Oryctolagus cuniculus: one gene and its partners. The protein of the gene in region 1 interacts with the protein of each later gene in a pairwise test. Links are inferred from orthologs where the notes say so. Each region holds a gene or a part of one and is shown in the gene's direction. Other genes may lie near its edges. The genes, in order: TAX1BP1, microtubule-associated proteins 1A/1B light chain 3C, CXXC1, GABARAPL2, PLEKHN1, LGALS8 and TNFAIP3.

Region 1 (3,500 bases):
CAACAGCCAGGGATGGACAGGCCCAAGCCAAGAGTTTATTCTGGTTCTCCCACATGGGTGCAGGTGTCCAAAGATTTGGACATGGTCTGCTGCTTTTCCCAGGTGTATTAACAGGGAGCTGGATGGGAAGTAGAGCAGCTGGGATACAAACCAGTCCCCATATTGGATGCTGACATTGCAGGTGATGGTTTAATCTGTTAATGTTACAAGGCTGGCCCCATGAACATTTTTGAATCATTCTTATATATTCTCTGCTGCTACTCTTTGTTTCTAAGAAGAAAAGCTAGCTATTTTTTAAACATTGAAATCAGATGAAGTAGATATCACAACAATGAAGCTGAAAGTTTCAAGACATAAAAGAATAGCAGGTATATTGATTATAGATTTTTGAGTGGATATTCTAAGGTGAATATGTTCATGTTCAGTAATATATATTGATGTATATTCATTTCACATTTGTTGAATGCCTCTTTTTTATAAGTCATTGTGGGGTATTCTGGAATATGTTATATGCACAAACATATAATAAAAATAAGTGTGCATCTGCCTTCAATCTCTGTATCTACCCTCATGTTTTTGAGATCTGATGTAGGAGATAAAAGACATGTGTATAAGAAATAGTAATGCAGAGTGTACTCTAATGGGCTATATGTGTGTGTGTGCACTTAAAGATTTGTTTGTTTATTTGAAAGAATTAGAGGTAGAGTCAGAGTGAGAGAGCTTCCATCTGCTGGTTCACTCCCCAGATGGCTGCATGAACAGACCTCACCCTATATCCAGCCTTTACCCAATTCATGTATGCAGCATGTTTTCTAGTTAATAATTGTCTTTTAAATGTATTAAATTTAGAATTGGAAAAAAAGTTCATTAAATGACATTCTCACCTCCATTCCTAGTTCCTAGATTTTTATACTGGTCATTCTCCAGTATTCTGCAGTCCTTCTCCCGTGGTAGAATACATTCTCACCTCTTCCATATGAGTTGGTTTTGCTCTAGTGAAGATACAGAAGGAAAGGATCTTCTGATAGAATAATTTTACATCTAAAATATGAAAAGTTTGGGTATGTTTGAGAAGAAAGGAGGCGGTCAGTTGGTATAATTTGTGAATAGCCGTAGGAAAGACATATTGAACATAGGTGCCAGAAACAATGTGTGGAATGAGAGATGGCAAGTGTTGCTCAATTACATTGAAATAATGTTAATTTTATAATAGAAAGTTTTAATATTTGTTTACTACCTCTTAGGGTACTACCTTCCAAATGATGATGGCGAATTTTATCAGTTCTGTTATGTTACCCATAAGGGTGAAATTCGTGGAGCAAGTACACCTTTCCAGTTTCGAGCTTCTTCTCCGGTTGAAGAGTTACTTACGATGGAAGATGAAGGGAATTCTGACATGCTGGTGGTGACCACAAAAGCTGGCCTCCTTGAGGTTGGTATTAACAATGAATCAGAGCTCATATTGGCTGGCATTTTAAGAATTTTCAGGTTAAGAGTATCTGCAAAAATCAAATGCTTTTCACTAAAGTAGTAAATGTATACTCTCTTTTTTAAAAGACCTAAAAGTCTTTTCATTACAATTATATGGCAGGGACTTTGTCCTTAGAGCCTAAGAGTATTTTGTGCATAGTAGATGATGCAGGAAACACCTACTGAGAGAAATTAGACATTAAGCATCCTTATGTTCCCTTACCCTTACCTTTCTTCTTTGGTAGCGTGATTTGTTGATTGTGGAATAGGATAGACTTCGGACCTCAAGCATGAGAGAGAGGATAAAAGTGAGAAATCTGATTGGATGTGAACTTTGCTTTATGAGCTATGAGTATGCTTTCTCAAGTGTGTCAAGTGAATACAAGTTTCTTAATTTAGATTGAACATTTTTAGAATAATTCTTTTTGTTCATCTTATCAAATGAATAAGCTTAGATTAACCATAATTTACAAGAAAAGGTGACAAGCTTTTCACTTTTTTAAAAATTGCATATTGTGCAGTTATGAGACTCGTTGTAGTATAAATGATATATATGCATATAGATGATCTAATAGTATATAGATGATCTAATAGTACTGCATTTCTTAAATTTTAGTAGTCATTGAAAGAGAATATAGAACTTTTTGTCATTTCACGATCATATTTCCCAACATCTTTATACTTAAAAAACCAGAATACTGGATTTGAGTTACTGTAATTGTGTATAGTGTTTTTTACTGTAAAAAGACAAATTTTTATTTAAAGTTGATTCAGTATGCATTTTGGGTAATGCACATCCATATTTTGTGTATTATAGGTCATTACTTTTTATTTATAATCAGATGGGTGACTTTTTTTCAAGTAAAATATTTTATGCTTTTGATTTTACTTTATTTACCTTGAAGAATGGAAATTAGAGGAAAAACAATTACAGATACAAATACTCTTATTAGACAGCCTTAAAGGTTAGAAGGAATCAGTCATTTTTATTGTGAATTTTTTCATATCTTTCCTTCCTCTTTCCAGAAATTCCTCTCTTATCTCTAATACAGAAATGTAACTTTTATGGGGTGACTAAAGCATTTTGTGGTGACAACTGCCTGATGATCAAGGTTTTTAGCCTGGTATTTGAATGTTGGCTATTCAGAAACAGACCTAGCTCTTAAGAAGAATGTAGTTAGTATTTATATTACAGCTTTTGGAATACTTAATAGACCACCCTGATCTCAGGGCCTCCAACAGACAAATTATGGGCATTTTGACATCCATGTTTATCTTCTGCTTTTCTCCAGTTCATAGCATGATCTATTTCATTTCTTTCAATCCACAAAGGGTACTTTATAAAGAAAATTTAAGTTGCAGTCTCTTGAGTAAATATTTCTGAGATAAACTTTTTATTTTTGACAAGTCTTTTATGTTTCCACATTCATGAAAATTTTAATGTTTTTATCTAATACACAAAATTAATAGAAATGTGAGACATTATCTGAGTCCCCGTTGGTGTTAAAAGTGATTAATGAGACGTAGTCCTGCAATGTGATCCTTGATTAGATAGCAGATTTAGAAGGGTAATGTAGGATGTTTGTGATCTATCTACTGGATGATATAAAATTATTATTATTATTATTATTTTTTTTTTGACAGGCAGAGTGGACAGTGAGAGAGACAGAGAGAGAGGTCTTCCTTTTGCCGTTGGTTCACCCTCCAATGGCCGCCACAGCTGGCACGCTGCGGCCGGCGCACCGCGCTGATCCGATGACAGGAGCCAGGTGCTTCTCCTGGTCTCCCATGGGGTGCAGGGCCCAAGCACTTGGGCCATCCTCCACTGCCTTCCCGGGCCACAGTAGAGAGCTGGTCTGGAAAAGGGGCAACCAGGAAAGAATCCGGTGCCCCGACCGGGACTAGAACCCGGTGTGCCGGTGCCACTAGGTGGAGGACTAACCTAGTGAGCTGTGGTGCCGGCCGATATAAAATTATTCTTAATTTTCTTACCTACAATAATAGTAGTGATTTAAAAGAGACTATCCTTA
Region 2 (4,097 bases), on another chromosome or scaffold:
TAAGGTATTCAAAATCATAATTAGTAAAGTGAAATCACCTACATAAGATCAGAAGTTAAGGTGAATGTAGTGGGAGCACCACGCCTGGCACCAGCTTTGCATGGTGTCGGAGCCCAGGCCTGCCCCTGAGAATCCCAGTGTAGGATGGGTCCCACCTCAGTGTAATCTGACCGAGTTGTCTTGATCCCTGCAAGGTATGCTTCCCACCTGGCCTTCCAACCTGCAAGGCAACTGGGGAGATTTAAATGAAATCCAGACTTGAAAGATGCTTGGCCCCAGAGTGTCACACACCTGCTTTGTATTATGCACACCTGAGGGGCTGCCTCCTTTTGAAGAACAAGTGAAACAGCATGAGGTCAATTTCTCTCTTCAGTGATGCTGTCAGTTAAGCACCTGCTGCCTATTCCTGATCTCTGACCTAAAGCCCTGAGACTCACCCTTCCTTTCTACTCAACCTGCAAATATGGAGAACATATTTCCCTCCTCCACTCTATTGTGTATTCACTTCAAAACTCTTCACTGTTCCATGACTGCTGGGAAGTCAGAGTATACATAAGCACTCTTCACGACAAAGGAAACGTAAACCTGCTCACTCAGAATCTGAAGGGCTCCTTGGATAGGCATAAGAATCTGGAAGCAAGCTCTGAGAATCAAGAGAGCCACCTTCCGCCTGCTACTCCATGTTTGATCCCAAGGCAAGAAAATTACCTTCTGTGTGCCTCTGCTGCTCACCTCACTTCTTAAAGATCCTAGAACGGTCCCTCCTTCCTGCCACTATTGCAGAGAAGATAAATGACACCACATACTGTCATGTATGTCTACCTTGTGCCTCAGCTGGGTTCTAATCCCAACTGCCTTCTCACTAGCTATTGTGGCTTTAAGCAAATCACTTAAGCTTTCTGAATACAGGGGTTTGTTCTTTGAAAAGCAGCAAAGACTGCCTTGAGAATTATGGAGCACATTTCAGAGAGAGGCAGATTTATCATGGACTCACCTCAAGCTGGTTCATTACTGAAGTGCAAAAACAACCGTGGCATAAGGCAGTTCCACCTCTCTAAAGTCCTCAGCCCATACCTCGGCTGTCAGAGTGTGCATTCCAATGATTTCATCATGAACCCTAATTTCTTTAGCAAAGAAACATCTTGAACTGGTCAAGAGCAAAGTGACTTTCTCTGACCAGCAAGCAGGTGGCCATTCCATTTCCAGCCTCAGCACTGACCTCCTGCTGCCCAGGAAGGGGGAGTCGAGAGAAGGGAGGGTCAGGATTGGCCTGATGTCACTCAGCCCTATTTAAAGCCTCCTTTAGGCTCCTGCAGACAGCGTGGATGCAGCTGGGGGAATGAGTTGTGGGTTTTTTTTTTCTTTTTCCCTTTAAAGACCAACACAGACACAGCTGTTGAGCAAAATGCCGCCTCTACAGAAAAACCCAAGCCTCAGACCCTTCAAGCAGAGGAAGAGCCTAGGTAAAGCTCTGGGCAGCTCTCTGGGTAACTTGAGAGGCAGGAGAGGATGCATCTTTCTCTAACTGTCCACTTACTCTTTTCTACCTGAAATCTCTACAGCAACCAGACAAGAGGAAGTTGCTGGAATCCGGGCAAAGTTCCCAAACAAGATCCCGGTAAGACTCACTGTCCTTCCCCAGAGGAGCCTGTATCTGTTCTTTGAAGAAACAAAGATCAAACAATGGCCTCCCCCTCTCTTTCCCAAGTCCCTAAGATACTGGGGGCTCTGAGTCACATTCTTAGGCACCTGCCTCAGGAGAGACCCATGCTAATACTCTTGGCAGGTGATAGTGGAGCGCTACCCCAGAGAGAAGCTCCTGCCCCTGCTGGACAAAACCAAGTTCTTGGTTCCTCAGGAGCTGACCATGACCCAGTTTCTCAGCATCATACGGTAGGTGACACAGCGGACATGTGTGTGTGTGTGTGTGTGTGTGTGTGTGTGTGTGTGAGAGAGAGAGAGAGAGAGAGAGAGAGAATTAGAGAATTTTGCAACTATCTGTAAGTTTGCTGCATTCTTTGGTTGGAATGTGGGTATTCCAGAAGAAAAGGGGGTTGAGATCTTTTGGTGACTCACTCATCTTTTAGATTCTGTTGTGCCCTAAAAAGATGCTGTGAGAATTATTCTATTTTAAACAAGTGGGGAGAACCCCTTAGACAACAAGCAACAGACTGCAAGAGCTGCCGACATTTCGAAGAATTCCCTAGAGTAGTTCTGGCTCTCGAACTCATCCAGAAGATCCTTCTTCCAGAAACTGTGTGCAAGCCAGTCTGCGTGTCCCTGGCAGAGAGCAGCAGCTTTCCTCAGGGTTTGTGTTTCTGGCAGACGGGGAACTGTTTGAAAAGCAAAAGGTCCCTGCCCTTCTTAAAGCTTAAGAGGGTTAAGTGGTGTCGCCTGATGCATGAGTGCAATTAGAAAATGATTTGTGAGTAAATACAGCCAGTGACTAAGTCCTCACCAGGTTGAAAAGTCTGTTTGGAGGCTGAATAGCCACTGTTGCCTGTTGCTTTGAGGGCTCACTGTGAATGAATGAGTGTCTTCATTTTGTTTTGTTTCAAAGAGTTGTCGAAGTTTCCAAGTTCATTGTGAAGACAGATGCCTAAAGAGATATCAAAGTCGGGAGGAGATCCCATTGTATCAGTTAATCATTAGGTGACCCCTTGGGGATGGAGAACCCTTTTTCCTCTTCCCAGTCACTGCTCCTGGCTCCCAACCTACATCCTCATCCTCATCCTCATCAATGTTTATTGAGCACCAACTGTATTCTGTGTGTCTTCTGGACTCTGTAGAGCCAACTGTGAACAAAATAGACAATAATGCCTGTCTGTGGCCTTCTCCCCCTTGGGGATGCCCAAACACTCATCAAAAGTGAGTTTGCGAAATGAAGGAGATGAGTGCAAGCTCGGGCACAGGAGCTTTTCCAACCCAGCCAAGGGCAGTATTCCCATCCCTAGTTCCACTCTTCTTCCACCCCCACCCCACTGCAGAATGGTTGCTTTTCACCCAAAGGCACTGGGCAATAGCCAGAATGAATACCTTTGGTATTCTTTTAGGAGAAATTACCTGAGTATAAACTGAATCAGATTCCAGTCACTCCCCATGTCCCATTTATGTTTGATCTTATCCCACATCGAGGCTCAAAATTCTGAGAGTGCAGTGGGAAATTGTGTCTGTTTCACTAATTAGAGCAAATGGAAGTGTGTGAAAGGTGAGACTGAGCCTTCCTGTAGGCACCTATATTGATTCACTGTCAATCACTGCACACTGAATTGGAAGTCTGTTTACCCTTGACATTTAAAGGATGTCCAACTAAGCCTTGCTCCTTCTCCATCTCGTCGGTGGCAGAGGAGAAATGGCAAGGGAAGGGAAGGGCACACTTCAAGGCCTTTCCACCCCTGTTTAATTGTGAGACGCTGGAAAGATAATGTATCATTCTTGCACCCTTGGGGAAATAGCTTTCTTTTTTTTTTTTTTTTAAGCTCAGCATTTACTTGGGGAAGCAAGAGAAATAAACAGGAACTTAAGGGTTTTATTAAGGGAGGAGGGGATCAGAAAGATAAACTAGGAGTTCCATACCAGGCAGAGAGCATAACGGGGGCCATGTGCAGGAAGCTACAGGCCAGAAACCGCGTGGGCAGGAGCAGCAGCACAAACAGGTGGCCTGCATGAAGCCCACAGAAAGCAGGGAAGGGGGGGCAGTGTTCTCCATGCCTCTTATTCACTGGGGAAATAGCTTTCAACGAGACCTAGGACTTATTTGCTTAGCATTATTGTGTTGGTATTCGCCTTAGTTAAAAATGGAATGGCCTCATCCTTTGGGCCCAACTGGGAGGCCCTGAGGATCTTAAAGTTCCAGGAACAGCTGTGGGCAATTCAGTTGTCTTGCACATCCTGAGCCTTCAGATTCCTAAGCTGATTCCCAGGTCAAGTCTCTCACTACCCTTCTCCCCTTCCCAGGAGCCGCATGGTCCTGAGGGCCACCGAAGCCTTTTACCTCCTGGTGGACAACAAGAGCTTGGTCAGCATGAGCATGACCATGGCAGAGATCTATCGGGACTACAAGGACAAGGACGGCTTTGTCTACATGACCTATGCCT
Region 3 (2,390 bases), on another chromosome or scaffold:
TGCATCACTGCCACAGTGCCTGGGGCCTGGCTGTGTGCGCGCTGCCCAGCCCGGCTCCAAGTATTGCTCGGATGACTGCGGCATGAAGCTGGCAGCCAAGTAAGTCCTTCCTGGGAGGTTCAGCAGAGGCAGGGGTACAGGCTAGGGCGTGACCCGAGTCCTCTGTCTGCCAGTCACCTACCCACCATTCAGTTAGCCCAGTGCCCACCTACCCGCCTGCCCCATTTAGTCACCCATCCAGTGGTCGTCCCTCGTCTCGTGGCTGGCAGGTCCCTGCCTGCAGCCCACTCACTGCCTCTCTGCAGCCGCATCTACGAGATCCTCCCGCAGCGCATCCAGCAGTGGCAGCAGAGCCCCTGCATCGCGGAGGAGCATGGCAAGAAGCTGCTGGAGCGCATCCGCCGGGAGCAGCAGAGCGCCCGCACCCGCCTCCAGGAAATGGAGCGCCGCTTCCATGAGCTCGAGGCCATCATTCTGCGTGCCAAGCAGCAGGCTGTGCGCGAGGATGAAGAGGTGAGCGCACGCGCCCAGGAGCGCGGGGCCCGGCACCTGGTCCCCACCTGGCCTCACAGTTCCTCCTGCCCCACGCAGAGCAATGAGAATGACAGCGACGACACAGACCTGCAGATCTTCTGCGTTTCCTGCGGGCATCCCATCAACCCACGCGTTGCCTTGCGCCACATGGAGCGCTGCTATGCCAAGGTCGGGGTGTCAGCCTGAGGGGGCGGATGGTGTGGGAGCCCAGTGAGCCTCGAGGGACGGCCGTGTTGTCTGGGTGGTGTCCTGGGTGGGCGTGCAGCGCACATCCAGTTCCCTCCTTTGTGCTCATCCCTCCAGTATGAGAGCCAGACGTCCTTCGGGTCCATGTACCCCACCCGCATTGAAGGGTGAGTGCAGGGTGCTCTGTGGAGCTGGGGCAGGCCATGGGCGCGGTAAAGGATAAGGGGGCCTCGGTCCTCCTTTCTGGCCGTTACCGTGTTGATTCCAACCCCCAGGGCCACACGACTCTTCTGTGATGTATACAACCCTCAGAGCAAAACATACTGTAAGCGGCTCCAGGTGCTGTGTCCTGAGCACTCGCGGGACCCCAAAGTAAGCATTTCCTCAGCCCCCACCTGCCTCCCCTTCCCTGTTCTTTGCTTCCTCCCTCAGCTCCTGTCCTTTTCCATTTCCTACCTGGCCACTCGATTCCTCCCCCAGGAGTGCGCCCCGCTCCTGGGCTCCTCACCACCTCTGCATCCCCTCCCTGCGTGTCCCTGCAGGTGCCAGCCGACGAGGTGTGCGGGTGTCCTCTTGTGCGGGATGTCTTTGAGCTCACAGGTGACTTCTGCCGCCTGCCCAAGCGCCAGTGCAATCGTCATTACTGCTGGGAGAAGCTGCGGCGAGCCGAAGTGGACCTGGAGCGCGTGCGCGTGGTAGGTTGGGTGCTGGCTGTGGCCAGGGGCCCGCAGGCCCGCAGGCTCCTGTGACTTCTCACGGCTCCCTGTGTCCTTCGGCAGTGGTACAAGTTGGACGAGCTGTTTGAGCAGGAGCGCAACGTGCGCACAGCCATGACAAACCGCGCAGGGCTGCTGGCCTTGATGCTGCACCAGACAATCCAGCACGACCCGCTCACCACCGACCTGCGCTCCAGCGCCGACCGCTGAGCGCACCGGCCCAGGCCCGCCCGGGCGGCCTGCTCCTCCGTTTGTTCGTTCCTCCTTCGTCTGTTTCTTCAGCTGCCCCCAAGTTTCTCCCTGTGCCCAGCCAGCACCTGAGTGCCCATCTGCCCCTACCAGGGGGTCTCAGACTGCGTCCGTCGGTCTGTCTCCGCTCTTGTGCTGGGTGGGACTGTGAAGTTTGCTCACCCTTGCCTCCCGCGGTTTTGTTAATAAAATTTTGAAGCAAGAAGAGGACTTGCTTGATGTGTGCGCACTGTGCAGGCTCCCCACGCAGTCCCTGGCGGGGGCGCCCACTGGCGGCACAGTGTGGCTGCGTGTCCAGACCAGCTGTGCGTGCAGCGGCCGACCCGCTCCTGGAAAGTGATCAGGAGCCCCCGCCGGCTCTCCGCGGTCAGCGGTCGGCGCAGGGCTCGCCTGGGGCGGGGCTGCCACGCCCCCCACGCCCCGGCTACCTGCCATGCGGCACCGACCCCTCCCCTGGAGTTGGGGGTCTGCGCGCCCTGGGGCAGCCAGCGCGAAGGCTCGACCCCAGCTTCCCTCCCTTGCCGGTGACTCCCCGTGGACAGCGGAGGAAATGGAGAACCCAGACCAACCTCGCTGTCCACGCCCCCTCAGGCTCGGACTGGCCCCGGCGAGCGCAGGCGCAAACTAGATGGCCCCCCGCGGGCCGGACCAGCCGCCCGGGGGAGCGAGTCGCGCAGGCGCGCGGGTGCCCGACGGGGAGGCGAG
Region 4 (4,002 bases), on another chromosome or scaffold:
TCACCCTCCAATGGCCGCCGCGGCCGGCGTGCTGCGACCGGCGCACCGCGCTGATCTGATGGCAGGAGCCAGGTGCTTCTCCTGGTCTCCCATGGGGTGCAGGGCCCAAGCACTTGGGCCATCCTCCACTGCACTCCCGGGCCACAGCAGAGAGCTGGCCTGGAAGAGGGGCAACCGGGACAGAATCTGGCGCCCCGACTGGGACTAGAACCCGGTGTGCCGGCGCCGCTAGATGGAGGATTAGCCTATTGAGCTGCAGCGGCAGCACCAGTTTCTAAGTATGAAACTCAAAGGATTTTCCACTTCGTTAACAAACCCTCTTCTGGCTGTTGAGACACGCAACCGTAAATGCACAGAAATACTTGTAGACTGAACCCTGCATTCCACAGCATCCGTGGGGAATTCGATCTGTAGGAAGTGATGGATGACATTATTCAAACACACAGGCCTTTTGGATGCAGCAGAATCACAAGCATGTAGCAGGGGTCATGTGCCCAATTAGATGAATGTTCCGGTCACATGTTCACCAGCTAATAAACAGATGGTGACCCAGGACACCCTGCCCTGGTGACTCTGCTTGGAAGAAAGGAATCACATCGCTGAGTGGAGAACCTCAAGGCTACGTGCAGGCAGGTGACACAGAGGGCCCGGCTGTGCCTGCTAAGCCACTCCCACTGCCCAACAAGGAAACCTGCCCCGTGACCAGCACTCAGAGGAATTCCGGCCTGGCAGTCACCTCTAACTTCCCTGCTGGGTGAAGGTTAAGGGATCGCTGTGTGGCCGCTGATGTCACACAAGCATTTGTGACACCCTCCATATGCATCCACACGTATATTCGTGGATCAAGGAAGGAAATGGGATTCCTGTATGATTTCTGGATTCAAGGTAACCTAGCATGGCTGACCTCAGTGCAAGACCCCCTGGACGTCATCAGCTCCCCTCCCCACACACAGCCCTCAAACTGCCAACACTCCCCTATGCTGAGTCCCCCACCCCTCACCGCTGCAAATATCCCCCAAACTGTCAACGCCCTAACAAGAGACCACTCTTCTGTCATTCATATTCCTAAATACCCTTCTGGTCAGCACCGTCCCAGACTTCCCCTATGAACAACCCTAAGAGCCCTAGCCTCTCAGCCACGCCCCCAAAAGTCTTCCGTATCAGTCACCAACGCCCTGGCGCCCCACCCCCGTCACAGGTCCTCCAGCAGTCCTCCCCCGACCCAGTAGCCAGTAGCCCTCAAGACACCCCTGCCACCAGCGCCACAGCCCGATCGCCCCCTGCGCCCCTAGTGCGGCCCCGCCCCCTGGAGCGGCGACCCTGCGGGCGGCGCCGGAAGCCCCGCCCCTGCCAGTTGCTAGGCTCCGGCAGCCGGAAGTCCCGCCTGCCGTGTAGTCGCTGCCGTCGTTGTTGTTGTGGTCGGTTCGCTGAACTCCGCGGCTCCCGAGAGCCGGCTGCGTCCCCTCGCTGCCGCCGCCATGAAGTGGATGTTCAAGGAGGACCACTCGCTCGGTAAGCTCTCGGCCGCCGGCCGGCCGGCCCGCGGGGAGTGGGGGCGGCGGGTGGGCCCCCTCCCCCACTCGGGCCGCCCTGGGCCGGGTCGGGCGGGGCGGATGCTGCGCTCCGGGCTCGGGTCGCCGAGGGCCCGGGCCGTCGTGGGCAGCCGCCCCCTGGCCCGGTGCGGCCCTCTGCGGCCCCTCCTCCGGGAGCCCGGGGGCAGAGGACCGCGGTCGCGGAGACACCGGACGAGGGCCGGGGCTTGCGCAGGTCGCCGGGGGAGGAGGACCGCGAGGGCCTGGGGCCCGGCACCGGCCCGGCGGGCAGGCGCCGCCGTCAGCCCGGTGTGTTTCTCTCTCAGAACACAGATGCGTGGAATCCGCGAAGATCCGAGCGAAATACCCCGACCGGGTTCCGGTGAGTGTGGGACTCCCCGCCCCCTCGCCCTGCTGGCTCCCCTGTCCCCTGCCCGGGAGCGGCGACGGGGCCCAGCCGTGCGACACTGGGTGAGCTGAGGTTCCGGACCCCGCTTGGCGTGGCCGGCGGTCCCCCGGCCGGGGTCGAGGGGCTGGGGCTGGTGCTGTTCAGGTGCCTCAGTGCTGAATCTCCCGATCTGGGCCAGCGAGCTGTCTACAGCCCCAGGGCTCCCTGGCCAATTACGTAAGGAACGATGTTCTAGGACAGGGCAACAGGTCACTGCCACTTTTGGGAACGGTGGCGGAGCGACTCACCGTGGTCCTGGAAGCGGCCCTTAGGTTTCGGGACGTGCAGTCTTTCACTCTGCGTGTCGGGCTCGCGGACTTCTCGTTCCTCTTGTGCACGGGGACCATGTCGTCTTGCCTGACCGAGGATGCTGCAGAGCTGCGGGGAGTCCCTTCTCCCGGGTCTCCTTTTAGTCAGTGATGCATTCGCGCCTGTAGTTTGTGGTCCGTGTTGGTTTGGAGAGGTTCCCCTGGGGAGGGCACAGACCCGAAAGCTGTTCAGAGAAGCGACAGGCCACCCGAGGAGCCTGCCAGGCAGCCCAGCGGCCCGCCCGTGCTTGCCGGCTGTGTCCGTGGGCCCTCAGTTCTGCAGCGTGGAGGTGGGTCCACTCTGGGGTCCTGGAGGAAGCGGCTGTACAGGAAACACCCACCAGGCATTCTCAGATCTGCCCAGATGAGATGTTGAAAGCCTCGGTAGCTGATTCTTCGGCATGCCGCGATCAGGATGAGAGGCTTAATTGACCACAGAGAAGCACTTACTGTTTCCCCATAATAGATGTGTAGCAGTTCCTGACGTCCAGATCGTGTGGCTGCTGGAGCCGGCGGGGTCTGGCCATGCTCGGCTGTTTCCCACCCAGCTCCTTGCCCACACTCTGCCCATCAGTGCCCCGCCAGTGTGGGGGAAGAGCCTCACGGGAAGAGACCCAGTCTTGACTTCTCTTTACTTTCCCAGGTGATTGTGGAAAAAGTCTCAGGCTCCCAGATTGTCGACATTGACAAACGGAAGTACCTGGTTCCATCTGACATTACTGTGGCTCAGTTCATGTGGATCATCAGGAAGAGGATCCAGCTCCCTTCTGAAAAGGCGATCTTCCTGTTCGTGGATAAGACAGTCCCACAGTCCAGGTGAGGTGCTGCCACACAGACCTCCGAGGGGGACGTCTGCCCGGCTGCTTAACACCACCAGACCCTTGGGAGGCCTCGGGATCTGCCTGGAATCTGGGTTTTATGGTCCCTGACACCAGGAGCGCCAGGAAAACAAGAAAGGGCTGCCATAAATGGGAGTGCACTTTGGATTAAGAAAATAGAACGAAGCCTAGACGGAAGAAAAAGAAAAACCCAGGCTCAGCCACCCAAGAATACTGGGAAATAGTCGAGCACGCAGGTCGGCCTAAGCCGTAGGTAGAACAAGGTATCAGACGAGGTTTCTCACGGGACCGTGAGGTCGCCCCTGCTGCTCTGTCAGGAGCTCTGGGCCTCCTGGGGCTCAGCTTCAATTGATCACCTGCTTGCTTCTCCTCACTTCCGTCAGCTCTTTGCCTTGGTGAGACGAGCGCCCAGCCCCCAGCACTTGTGGCCCCAGTTCACTCGATGCAGCCACTTGCTCAGTTGAGGTTATTCTTACAAGTGTGTTTATAAACACGAGGCATGTGACGTGCCTGAGGAAACGGCTGCTGCTCAGGAAAGGCTCTGAGGGCTCTCTGCGCTCTTTTACCGGCCTCGGCACCTCCTGCTTTGACTGCCACAGTGCTGTGCTGCCTGGAAGCCGCCTTTGGGATTCAGTTGTGACTTGGGGCCTGAATCTAGGCAGGGCTGTCACAGTTCCCCTCTTTGGTATAACTGACAGGCCAGCCTTAGTCCTCTTGGAATGGGGCACAGGGACTGGCTCAGTCTAAACTCCTGGTCACTCCATTGCCTTTACTGATTGGGCACTTCTAGGCCTGGAGCCAGATTCTGGACCCACCTTTTTGCTGAATGTGAATTCCTGGCCACATCTTCCCTTAGTGACCCAAACAAGGTTTCA
Region 5 (2,378 bases), on another chromosome or scaffold:
CCAGGGTCCCGGGTCTTTCCTGCAGGTGTCTGGGGGCTCCAGGCTCAGCCCACCCAGCCTGCTCTGCCCCCTTCCCCAGGCCCCCTGCCTGCCCCGCTCCTGGTGCTCTGCCCTGGCGAGGCTGAGCTGAGCCGCTGGCTGTTCCACCTGGAGAAGCAGATGGCCCTCGCCAGGGGGCTGCCCCGCTGCCATTCCGCGCCACCTCAGGTCAGTGCCAGGAAACCCTGCACCTGTTCCCCACCCCCACCCCTGCCTGGCCTGCCCTAGACCTCCCTCTCCCCAGAGCCCCCCTGGGGACGAGCCCCCCTGGACACTGCACCAACATCTGACCCGACTGCGGACAGCGCCAGGGCCGGGACCAGCAGGTGCCCCCATCTGTGCCTCCAGGGTCAAGCTGCAGCATCTGCCCTCACAGGTGCACAGCAGGGGACGGGGGGGTCCAGGTGGGGGCGCCAAAGCCCTCAGCCCTCACAGGTGGACAGGAGGGGATGGGAGGGTCCAGGTAGGCGGGCCCCCTCAGCCCTCACAGGTGGGCAGGAGGGGACAGGAGGGTGTGGGTGTGGGGTCCAAGCCCCACTCAGGGCCCAGAATCCTCTCTGATCCCCCTGCAGGAGCAATGGGACCGGCTCCTGGTCCTGTACCCAGCGTCCCTGGCCATCTTCTCGGAGGAACCAGACGGGTTTAGCTTTAAGGTAGGCCCCTCCCACCCGTGGTGGAGCCACCCAGGGAGGCGCCCGGTGTGTGGGGGTGGGAGGGGGCAGCAACTCAGGAGGAACCTGTATTTCGGGGCCTGTTGGGACAGAGCACACGGGCCCTGCCCACCAGGCCCCACTGCCCTGGTCAGTAAGTCTGGTCTTGGTTCCGGTGGGGAGAGAGGATCCTGATCTGAGTGACCCATCTCACTCTGGAGGGTGCCCAGCCAGCGGTCTGTCGTGCTGGGACGGGTGCAGGGGTGGGGCTCACTCCAGGTGCCTTTGAGTGATGTCTTCCAGGCGCCTGAGGGGCGTGTGTGTGTGTATGCGTGTGTGTGTGCGCGTGTCCTCTGGGGCCAAAGCCTGTTGGCGGTCTGCACTCACACCCAGGGGCTGCCGTACCACGGCCCCATGGGGTGGTGAGGCCCCACCAGGAGGCTGGGTGGGAGGGGGCAGCCTGGCCTCCTTCAGCCTCCATGCCAGGCTGAGTGCCCAGCCCGGCTCCAGATGGCAGGATGGAGGCCCTGCCCTTAGTCACTGCCCCCCAGGGAGAGCTCCCCCTGAGCGCCATCCATATCAACCTGGAGGAGAAGGAGAAACAGATCCGCTCCTTCCTGATCGAAGGTGGGTGCTTATCTGGACCCTGCCCCTCCTGGCGGGGCCACGGGCGGGAGGCCAGAGCCTGCTGGGGCCCCGGCTCTGCTGAGCGGGCCCTGTGTGGTACACCCGCCCTGCCAGGCTCTGGCCTCATGTGTCCATGCAGGCCACCTCATCAACACCATCCGTGTGGCGTGTGCCAGCTACGAGGATTACAGCCACTGGCTGCTCTGCCTCCGGGCAGTCTCCCGCCGGGATGGGGCCCCCCTGCTGTCTGGCCCTGAGGATGTCCTGGGGTCCCTGGGGCCTGCGCAGGTGAGAAGTCAACAGGGACCCTGCAGCCAGGTCCTGGACAGTGGTAAAAGCCAGAGGCAGAGGGCGGAACCAGACATAGGTAAGGTGGGGAGAGGGGTCGAGGCAGCTGGCTCCACGCCCTCCTGCCCGGGTCACGGGGTGGCCCAGATTCACGCTCCTGATCCTCCACGAGCCCCCTACCTTCACCAGCCACACTCTGCCCCCAAGGGCTTGGTGCTGTCCAGCCTGAGTGAGGACTCCAGGGGGTCAGGAATCCATGAGGCATGGAGGGGCCTGGGTCCTCCCCCATCTGGACTGGATTCCTCGGAGGGGGGAGCTTGAACTGGAGGGTGCTCTAGACATCCTCAGGGACTTGTGTGGGGAGGGTCCCACGGAACTTTGGGGAAATTTCTCAGTCTCCCCAGGACCAGGCCAACCCTGAGTGCACCAGCATCGGCTGGCGGAGAGCAGAGCTGAGACGTGCGGGCAGCAGCCGGTTACCCAGGGGGAAGGCCTGGGTGGAAGGGCCGGGCCCAGCCGCACCACGGCACCTGCACCTGGACCTGAGCAAGGTGGGCCCAGCGTGCAGTCCTACCCGGCTCCCTTGCACTCCGCCTGCTGGCCACTGTCTCTCAGACTGAGGCTGTCTTTCCCGTAGGTGAGCAGGCTGGGCCTGGAGGGAGAGCCCCCAGTGGAGGCACCACACTCCCCACTCTATGCCGACCCCTACACACCCCCTGCCACTTCCCACCGCAAGATCATGGATGTCCGCAGCCTTAATGAGGTCAGTCCTGT
Region 6 (3,500 bases), on another chromosome or scaffold:
TCCCAGCTACTTGAGCTGTCACTTGCTGCTCCTTTGGGCACTTTAGCAGGAAGACAGAATCAAGAGCACAGCCAAGACTCCAGTCCTGGAACTCTGATATGGTATATGGGCATCCCAAGCGACACCTTAACTGCTAGGCCAGCTGCCCCCTAAAATTAGGATTTTAGTACGAAGCTAGGATGGAAGTAATTGAGAATTGTGGTATATACTTCTTATTTGGGTAGGCACTCAAGTGTTGGCTGATGCTTAGCCTCTCAGTTTGTGTGACAGTTACCCACCGTTCCTATGGAACATGAAGTGTGTCTGACTCTAAACCATCAAGTAGGGCAGTCATGAGATATTTACAAATATCATACACCAGCCAAGTGCATTAGAAAATAAACTTCCATATGCATCTTCTCTCCCTTTGGGAACAAGTGCAGTTCAAAAATTGCATCTGTGCTACTATTAATGGAGAAGTAAGGTCTTCCAATCTCAGCATATTCATACCTCACCAACAAAGAGTATAATCAGCATTTTGGGGGTACTTGGAAAGAACAAGTTAAATGTGTTTGAAGCTCACATGCAGTCCTGTGAAAAATTACTCACTCATAGTGGAGGATAAAGGACTCAGATCAATAGGGCTCTTAGAGTTCATTCCCAGCCTGAGTTGCCCTTTCCACCTCCATAGCACAGTCAGGAATCACTGTGTGTCACACCAGCAGAGAGTGGGCCTGAATGGCCCAGACCCTGGCCAGGCTCAGCTCATCACAACCAACAAGATCAGACTGCTCACATTATAAAATGTATGTCTTGTCTTTCCAGTGTTCTCATTTCTTGATTCTCCTCCCATAGGTGCAGAAGTCTGGCACGCCACAGTTTGTAAGTAGTTTTCTCTGAGTTCTTACCTGGGAACATTTTATAAAATTGCCTAGAAAATGAATAGTTGAACCTTGAAAGACAGCTTCATTCACTGCATTCCTTATTGTAGAACTGTTTCCCTACAGCCTAGTAATAGAGAAGGAGACATTTCTAAAGTCGTACCCAGAACTGCCTACACCAAGAGCAAAGATTCGACTGTCAATCACACTTTGACTTGCACCAAAATACTACCTACCAGCTATTTGTCAAAGGTTTGAAGAGCCACAGATTTTCTTAATTCTTTAGAAAAACTAAGTTTTAGGTAGCTGTTAAGTATAAACCCTACCCCCAAGTAGAAGCCCAAAGCAGCCACGCTGCATTTGTATGCTGTCCCTGGACAGACATGAGGGTCACTGGGTATATGTCTCTGGGCCATGGGCCTGTAGCTCCTCCACTCCTCCCAGCGTGGCTGCCCCCTACCCCTTCAGACCCCTTCAGGAACATGGAGCACTGCATCAGAGCCCAAGTGCAGGTGGCTCTCCCAGAATGAGTGTCACTTGGACAGAGTACATCAGGTCGCACTGTGTGTCCGTTCGTTTCCTCATTGAGAGCTTGCACTGACAGGCACAGCGCTACCACAAGGGATCCACCTGGGACCAAAGCAAGTTTGGTCTGTCCCCTCACGGGGTTCCAGGCTCCTAAACGTTCCCTGGTGCCCTCTGGACAGTTTGCCCGTGAGATTTTCCCTGCAGCCTTCCTTGTTCTGACTGCGACTTCTTTTTAGAGCCTGCCATTTGTTGCGAGGTTGAATTCTTCCATGGGCCCCGGGCGAACTGTCGTCATCAAAGGAGAAGTGAACACAGGTGCCAAAGGGTTGGTATCATCAACGTTACCGGTAGCAGTGCCAGTGCTTTCCACGTGTGCCTGTTACCGCCTGATAGCCCCTAACCTCCTGTGAGATAGAAGTCTAGCGTCAGATCCTCATTAGAAAGGCGAGACTGTTAAAGCAGGAAGACGTTCAACTGCTAACAACTACGTGGTGCAGAACCAGGACTGAAGTCCCGGGTTCTGACCTGCGCCTTTTCTAGCCACGCATGAGGATAGCATGTTTGTCCACAAGGCCCGCCCTTGCCTTGTGAGCTCTGGGGCAGCCTCATAAATCAGGCAGCTTTTCAGGGCAGCTCTTTTCATGTGACTTACAACATTTCTGCTTTAAGAACCTTTGCCAGAGATGTCCGGGCTTCTGAAAGCTTGACTTCAGAGCTGTTTCCCAGAAAGCTGCGTGCTTTCAAGAAGAGAGCACCTGGAAATGATTAAAAGAGAGTACCTGCCAGAAAGGGTCCAGTTCCTGCAGCCCGAAATAACCATTTAGTTTGGTAGCACAAAAACCTTCGATTTCTGCCCAAGCAGATCTCTGCCTCAACACTGATTTGAAGGTTGTTTTGTATTTTTATTTTCCAAGTAACATGGAATGCTGTCTCAGGAGTTGAGAATCTCACCTATATCCATATGCGTATGTGTTTCATATGTTTGTAACAGTAGCTCAAGTCTGATGATGAAAATTGCAGGAACAGACTATTCACACATTTGTGGTTAAAATTTGTTTTCCCTCCCTCTTAAAAGCTTTAATGTTGACCTGATAGCAGGAAAATCGAAGGATATTGCTCTACACTTGAACCCACGCCTGAATTTGAAAGCATTTGTAAGAAATTCTTTTCTTCAAGAGTCCTGGGGAGAAGAAGAGAGAAATATTACTTGTTTCCCATTTAGTCCTGGGATGTACTTTGAGGTAAGATGATATTTTTTGGAAATGGGCCAGGAAAAAGAATCTTGGGAGCAGAGATAGGATAAATGGCCCATTTAAATCAAATCCCAACTCAGGCGGATACTGTGGGCTGCTGTTGCTTTTGTTTCTTTCCTTGGAGGCTGTAATTTGAATGCTCACTTTTATAACATAGGCTGTTGGTATCAATGGCAAAATCAGTAGAGTATCACATTATTTGCATTGGAATTATTTGACATTTGATATATTAAAATGAGTTATCCCTATATTAAGAATCTGTTTTTATTTATTTATTTTTTTTTTTTTTTGAGAGACAGGGTCAGACAGAGCTCTCATCACTGTCTATTGGTTTATTCCCCAAATGCTGGAATGGACCAGAACTGGCTGGGGCTGGACCAGAAACTCAGTCTGGGTCTCCCATGTGGGTGGCAGGGACCCAAGCACTTGAGCCATCACCATCTGCTTCCCAGAGTGTGCACTAGCAGGAAGCTAGAATTAGGAGCGGAATTGGTTCTCAAACCCAGGCACTACTGTGCAGTGAGCATTCCAACTGGCAGCAGACCTCTGGGGGGACTCCTATCCCAGTGTAATAGGAATCTTGACAGGAACTTTCTCAGGACTGGAGTAACGTGTGTAATCACATGTGGACATGAGGACGTGGGGACCCTAGAAGTGCTTGCTTGTACTATCATCTCTCATCTTGGCTGGCTACAGTTCAGAAGTCAATCCTGTTAAAAACCAGGTACTTCACAAAATTCATGGAAAATAGAATGAAACGTTTAGTTTGATGCTGAAAAATTTTGAAATCCATCTATATGAGGGATCCTCAAAAAGTTCATGGAAAATGCATAGTATGGAAAAACTATTCATGAATTTC
Region 7 (3,445 bases), on another chromosome or scaffold:
TGCTGCCGGTGATGCCAGCATCCCAAATATGAGCACTGCTTGCAGTCCCAGCTGCTCCACTTCCGATCCAGCTCCCTGCTAATGCACGAGGGAAGCACCAAAGGATGTACCTGGGCTTCTGCCACCCACTTGGGAGACCAGGCTGGAGTTCCAAACTCCTGGTTTTGGCCTGACCCAGCCCTGGCCCTTGCAACCACTTGGGGAGTGAACCAGTAAGTGGAAGATTCTCTCTCTCTCTTTCTCTGTCTCCCTCTCTCTGTCACTCAAGTCTGCAGGAAGATCTAAGGGATAAAAATCCCATTCACCTTATCTTCCCAGATTGGAGGGACTGCTATTGATTTCCTTGAACTAAGTATACTTTAGAAGTCATTTTATAAAGCAGATAAAATCTGCCATAGAATAAAACCTCTTCAAGCTTCCAAAAAGCCAGGTAGTAATCCAAGATTTCTTGAATTGTGGCAGAAACACAGACATCGCAAAGGCAGGCTTCTTCAACGATCCTTTATCACAGGGAGAGAAGGCAGAAGCCAGGGGATTCCGCTTAGCGGCCTCAAAGCAGGCCTGCAGCTAGCTGTAGAGCGGTAGGAATTGGCTAAGTAAGCACAGCCGGTCCTCAGTCCCGATAGAAGAGAGGTGGGCCGGCTTCACTGCCAGTGGTGGTGGGCTTGACCTCCCCAGGGCGAGGTCCAGTTTCCTGGGGATCGGAAGGCCATGTCCAGCTCGCTGACAGCACCTGCCCGCTGCTCCCTTGCAGGGGTGTGGAATCTGCTGTGTCCAATGAGATCTTGTGCCCTCCCTTTGAAACACGAGCCACAAATCTGTCTGTTCTTCCCACCCAGAGATCGAGCCAGCGCAGAGACGTGCCCCGAACCACACAGAGCAGCTCCAGGCCTAAGTGCGCCCGGGCCACCTGCAGGAACATCCTGGCGTGCCGTAGTGAGGAGCTCTGCATGGAGTGCCAGCACCTCAGCCAGCGCGTGGGCTCCGGCGTCCCCCGCGGAGAGCTCGCCCCCGAGGAGCCCCCCAAGCAGCGCTGCCGGGCCCCAGCCTGCGACCACTTTGGCAATGCCAAGTGTAATGGCTACTGCAACGAGTGCTTTCAGTTCAAGCAGATGTATGGCTGACGGGAAACAGGCCAGCTGCCGTCAACGTGGTGCTATACTCCAGGCCTCCAGAGCCCACTGGAGGGGCAGTGCCCGCCACGGGGAGTGGGCTCAAGCGTGGCTGAGCAGGGAACGACAGATAAGCTCTTCATCCAGGCCGTGATGGGGATGGGCTCGGGTTTGGTGACCGGGGCGTCCACCCAGCAGAGCCGGGGACTGGATCCTCCCATGCCACCATGTGGAAGGCCCGGAGCATCTCCGGACCCGGACCCTGCCCATCGGGACTGCCTCGTCGTCTTGTTGAGGAAAGGGAGAGCTCACCCAGGCGGGTGGGCTGGGAGAGCCAGGGCCTCGCCCCCTGCCCTGTCACCACCCCACTCAGAGGGGGGAAGCTGAAGCCTCGTGGGACAGAGGCCCTCTGCCCGAAGCTCAGGGAGACGCCCACGTCCAGAGAGTGTCAGGAGTCCACCGTGTCCCCACCTGCCACGTCCCCTTCCCTGTGAGCCGGCCAGAGAGCAGAACGGACTGTGACGGAGCTGCTGGGACCGACGCTGTCAACGATGGAAAGGAAGCAAGCTGCTCTTTACAACGTGCACCTTTGAAAACTCAGAATATTTTAGTGGGAAAATGTGTAACTCTCTTGGTTATCATTGTCTGCTGAAGAGGTTCGCTTGAACCAAGGTGTGTGTAAATCTGTGTACATAGGTGATACACCCTTATGTATGAGGGATTTTTTATTATTATTAATAATAGAGGTATATGTGGGAAGACTGAATAATAATAACCTATTTTCTGGTTGTTGCTGGGGCACCACCTGTATACACAGCTTCCGTGAACTCAACCAGCTGCCTTTGGAAAGGGAGCACTCCAGTTGTGTCTGTGTAATCCGCTTTATTTATTTTATTACCAATGTCAAGATTATTTAAATGAAGCTGTTTCCTCAGCTCTGGGGAAAGGCTGCAGTATCTCCTGTGAGATAGCATCTTTGCTTTGGTCGCGTTCCGGACCCAGGCGAGCTCCTGACCACAGCAGGGAGTGGAGCTGCCTGCAGACACCTTGCTGCTTGCCTCCCTTGGCGAGAAGGAATTGTATCAGGAGGAAATCCATTCGAATCTCATGCCTCCCCCTCTGATTTGCTAAGAAGTTGTCCTGTGTTATGGGTGCTTCTGAGTATCCTACCTCCTTGGAGATATGATAGGCAAGAAGTAGGCATGAGATGGGGAGGGCGGTCACAGGGCAAGATGTGACTTTTCGTCGTGGTTTCATTTGCTGTGTTAATGCTGTGTCCTGGGGTTTTAGGCAGTGGCCTTGAGTCCAGCCGTGGGACACAGAAACCAAGTAGGAAGCAAGAGGATGAGGATGTGTGTGTGTGTCATTGGCCTGCAGTTTCTCTGTGTGCTTTGTGTTATTGTCATTGTTACTCAGAAAAAAAAAAAAAAAGAAAAAAGAGGGAAGTGTGTTTCTCCCAGGGGTAAAGGCTGCCAGTTTTGGGGTCTAGAGTCGTCACCCCAAAATATCTGTGATCCATAACTCTACATAGCCTTCCCTCGTGTTACCTGACATGTCTGTTCGCTGATGTAAATCTTTATGATTTCTTGCTAAAGATGTCAAAGAAACATCAGTGTGTTCACCTAGTTCCTTTAAAGTTGATAGCCTAATATTTTGTCTATCAATATTTTCTTTCTTAATGTGAAAAGAAATGGAATTATTTATACTCGCTATAGAAAATATTTGAAATTTGCACATTTAGTTGTCTCATACTTTGTTGAATTCCTTGGTTTTCCCGAATAAGTGTAACTTTCACAAGAGTCAATATTAAAAAATAAATTATTTAAGAACATATTTTGATGTTTTTTTATTGATGAACACTGAAACAAAGCCTCAAATATGAAAACAGCTTTCTAAGCAACTATATTTTGGTGTACATTTGGGCAAAGAATACTTCCCTCATCCATGGATAGTGAAGTTGCTTTAAAAAAATGATACGACTGTGTGAGGGTAGGGCTGTGCTGTGACAGACTGGCTGTCCCTCGGCAGCATGGTCACCAGTGTAGCTGTATTGAAAGGGGAGGACCCACCTTGAAGAGGTTGGATCTAGTGCCAGCTATTGGGGTGTAGTAGGTTAAGCTGCATCCGGAATCAGAGTGCCAATTCAAGTCCTGATTGCTCTGCTGGTGAGCCAGCTTCCTGCTAATGCTTCCTGGGAGGCAATGAATGCCTGGGACCCTGCCACCCTATGAGGGACTCAGATGGAGTTCTGGCTCCTGGCTTTGGCCTGTTGCAGCCCTGGCCATAGCAGGCATTTGGGAAGTAAACCAGTGGGTGAAAGATCTCTGTCTCTC

Evidence for each region.
Region 2: the proteins of TAX1BP1 (region 1) and microtubule-associated proteins 1A/1B light chain 3C interact in binary tests that used the Homo sapiens proteins (3 or more experiments, as listed by UniProt). The link is inferred for Oryctolagus cuniculus from reciprocal best matches to the Homo sapiens genes TAX1BP1 and MAP1LC3C.
Region 3: the proteins of TAX1BP1 (region 1) and CXXC1 interact in binary tests that used the Homo sapiens proteins (3 or more experiments, as listed by UniProt). The two-hybrid records come from large-scale screens. The link is inferred for Oryctolagus cuniculus from reciprocal best matches to the Homo sapiens genes TAX1BP1 and CXXC1.
Region 4: the proteins of TAX1BP1 (region 1) and GABARAPL2 interact in binary tests that used the Homo sapiens proteins (3 or more experiments, as listed by UniProt). The link is inferred for Oryctolagus cuniculus from reciprocal best matches to the Homo sapiens genes TAX1BP1 and GABARAPL2.
Region 5: the proteins of TAX1BP1 (region 1) and PLEKHN1 interact in binary tests that used the Homo sapiens proteins (3 or more experiments, as listed by UniProt). The two-hybrid records come from large-scale screens. The link is inferred for Oryctolagus cuniculus from reciprocal best matches to the Homo sapiens genes TAX1BP1 and PLEKHN1.
Region 6: the proteins of TAX1BP1 (region 1) and LGALS8 interact in binary tests that used the Homo sapiens proteins (3 or more experiments, as listed by UniProt). The link is inferred for Oryctolagus cuniculus from reciprocal best matches to the Homo sapiens genes TAX1BP1 and LGALS8.
Region 7: the proteins of TAX1BP1 (region 1) and TNFAIP3 interact in binary tests that used the Homo sapiens proteins (3 or more experiments, as listed by UniProt). The link is inferred for Oryctolagus cuniculus from reciprocal best matches to the Homo sapiens genes TAX1BP1 and TNFAIP3.

What each region holds. Positions count from the first base shown.
Region 1 is NC_091447.1:19,339,193-19,342,692, forward strand, and holds part of TAX1BP1 (tax1-binding protein 1), read left to right. Parts: intron 1-1,244; coding exon 1,245-1,432; intron 1,433-3,500.
Region 2 is NC_091444.1:55,581,969-55,586,065, forward strand, and holds the start of microtubule-associated proteins 1A/1B light chain 3C, read left to right. Parts: upstream 1-1,297; 5' UTR 1,298-1,405; coding exon 1,406-1,463; intron 1,464-1,562; coding exon 1,563-1,618; intron 1,619-1,786; coding exon 1,787-1,893; intron 1,894-3,957; coding exon 3,958-4,097.
Region 3 is NC_091441.1:27,830,371-27,832,760, forward strand, and holds the end of CXXC1 (CXXC-type zinc finger protein 1), read left to right. Parts: coding exon 1-99; intron 100-305; coding exon 306-513; intron 514-591; coding exon 592-702; intron 703-837; coding exon 838-887; intron 888-995; coding exon 996-1,092; intron 1,093-1,262; coding exon 1,263-1,415; intron 1,416-1,499; coding exon 1,500-1,646; 3' UTR 1,647-1,890; downstream 1,891-2,390. UniProt on the Homo sapiens protein: Transcriptional activator that exhibits a unique DNA binding specificity for CpG unmethylated motifs with a preference for CpGG.
Region 4 is NC_091449.1:57,942,871-57,946,872, forward strand, and holds the start of GABARAPL2 (gamma-aminobutyric acid receptor-associated protein-like 2), read left to right. Parts: upstream 1-1,202; 5' UTR 1,203-1,478; coding exon 1,479-1,512; intron 1,513-1,858; coding exon 1,859-1,914; intron 1,915-2,931; coding exon 2,932-3,104; intron 3,105-4,002. UniProt on the Homo sapiens protein: Ubiquitin-like modifier involved in intra-Golgi traffic. Modulates intra-Golgi transport through coupling between NSF activity and SNAREs activation. It first stimulates the ATPase activity of NSF which in turn stimulates the association with GOSR1.
Region 5 is NC_091438.1:164,379,296-164,381,673, reverse strand, and holds part of PLEKHN1 (pleckstrin homology domain-containing family N member 1), read left to right. Parts: intron 1-79; coding exon 80-207; intron 208-283; coding exon 284-415; intron 416-611; coding exon 612-692; intron 693-1,240; coding exon 1,241-1,316; intron 1,317-1,455; coding exon 1,456-1,604; intron 1,605-1,999; coding exon 2,000-2,155; intron 2,156-2,241; coding exon 2,242-2,367; intron 2,368-2,378. UniProt on the Homo sapiens protein: Controls the stability of the leptin mRNA harboring an AU-rich element (ARE) in its 3' UTR, in cooperation with the RNA stabilizer ELAVL1.
Region 6 is NC_091444.1:61,220,607-61,224,106, reverse strand, and holds part of LGALS8 (galectin-8), read left to right. Parts: intron 1-834; coding exon 835-861; intron 862-986; coding exon 987-1,112; intron 1,113-1,624; coding exon 1,625-1,713; intron 1,714-2,463; coding exon 2,464-2,629; intron 2,630-3,500.
Region 7 is NC_091436.1:30,955,108-30,958,552, reverse strand, and holds the end of TNFAIP3 (tumor necrosis factor alpha-induced protein 3), read left to right. Parts: intron 1-839; coding exon 840-1,124; 3' UTR 1,125-2,945; downstream 2,946-3,445. UniProt on the Homo sapiens protein: Ubiquitin-editing enzyme that contains both ubiquitin ligase and deubiquitinase activities.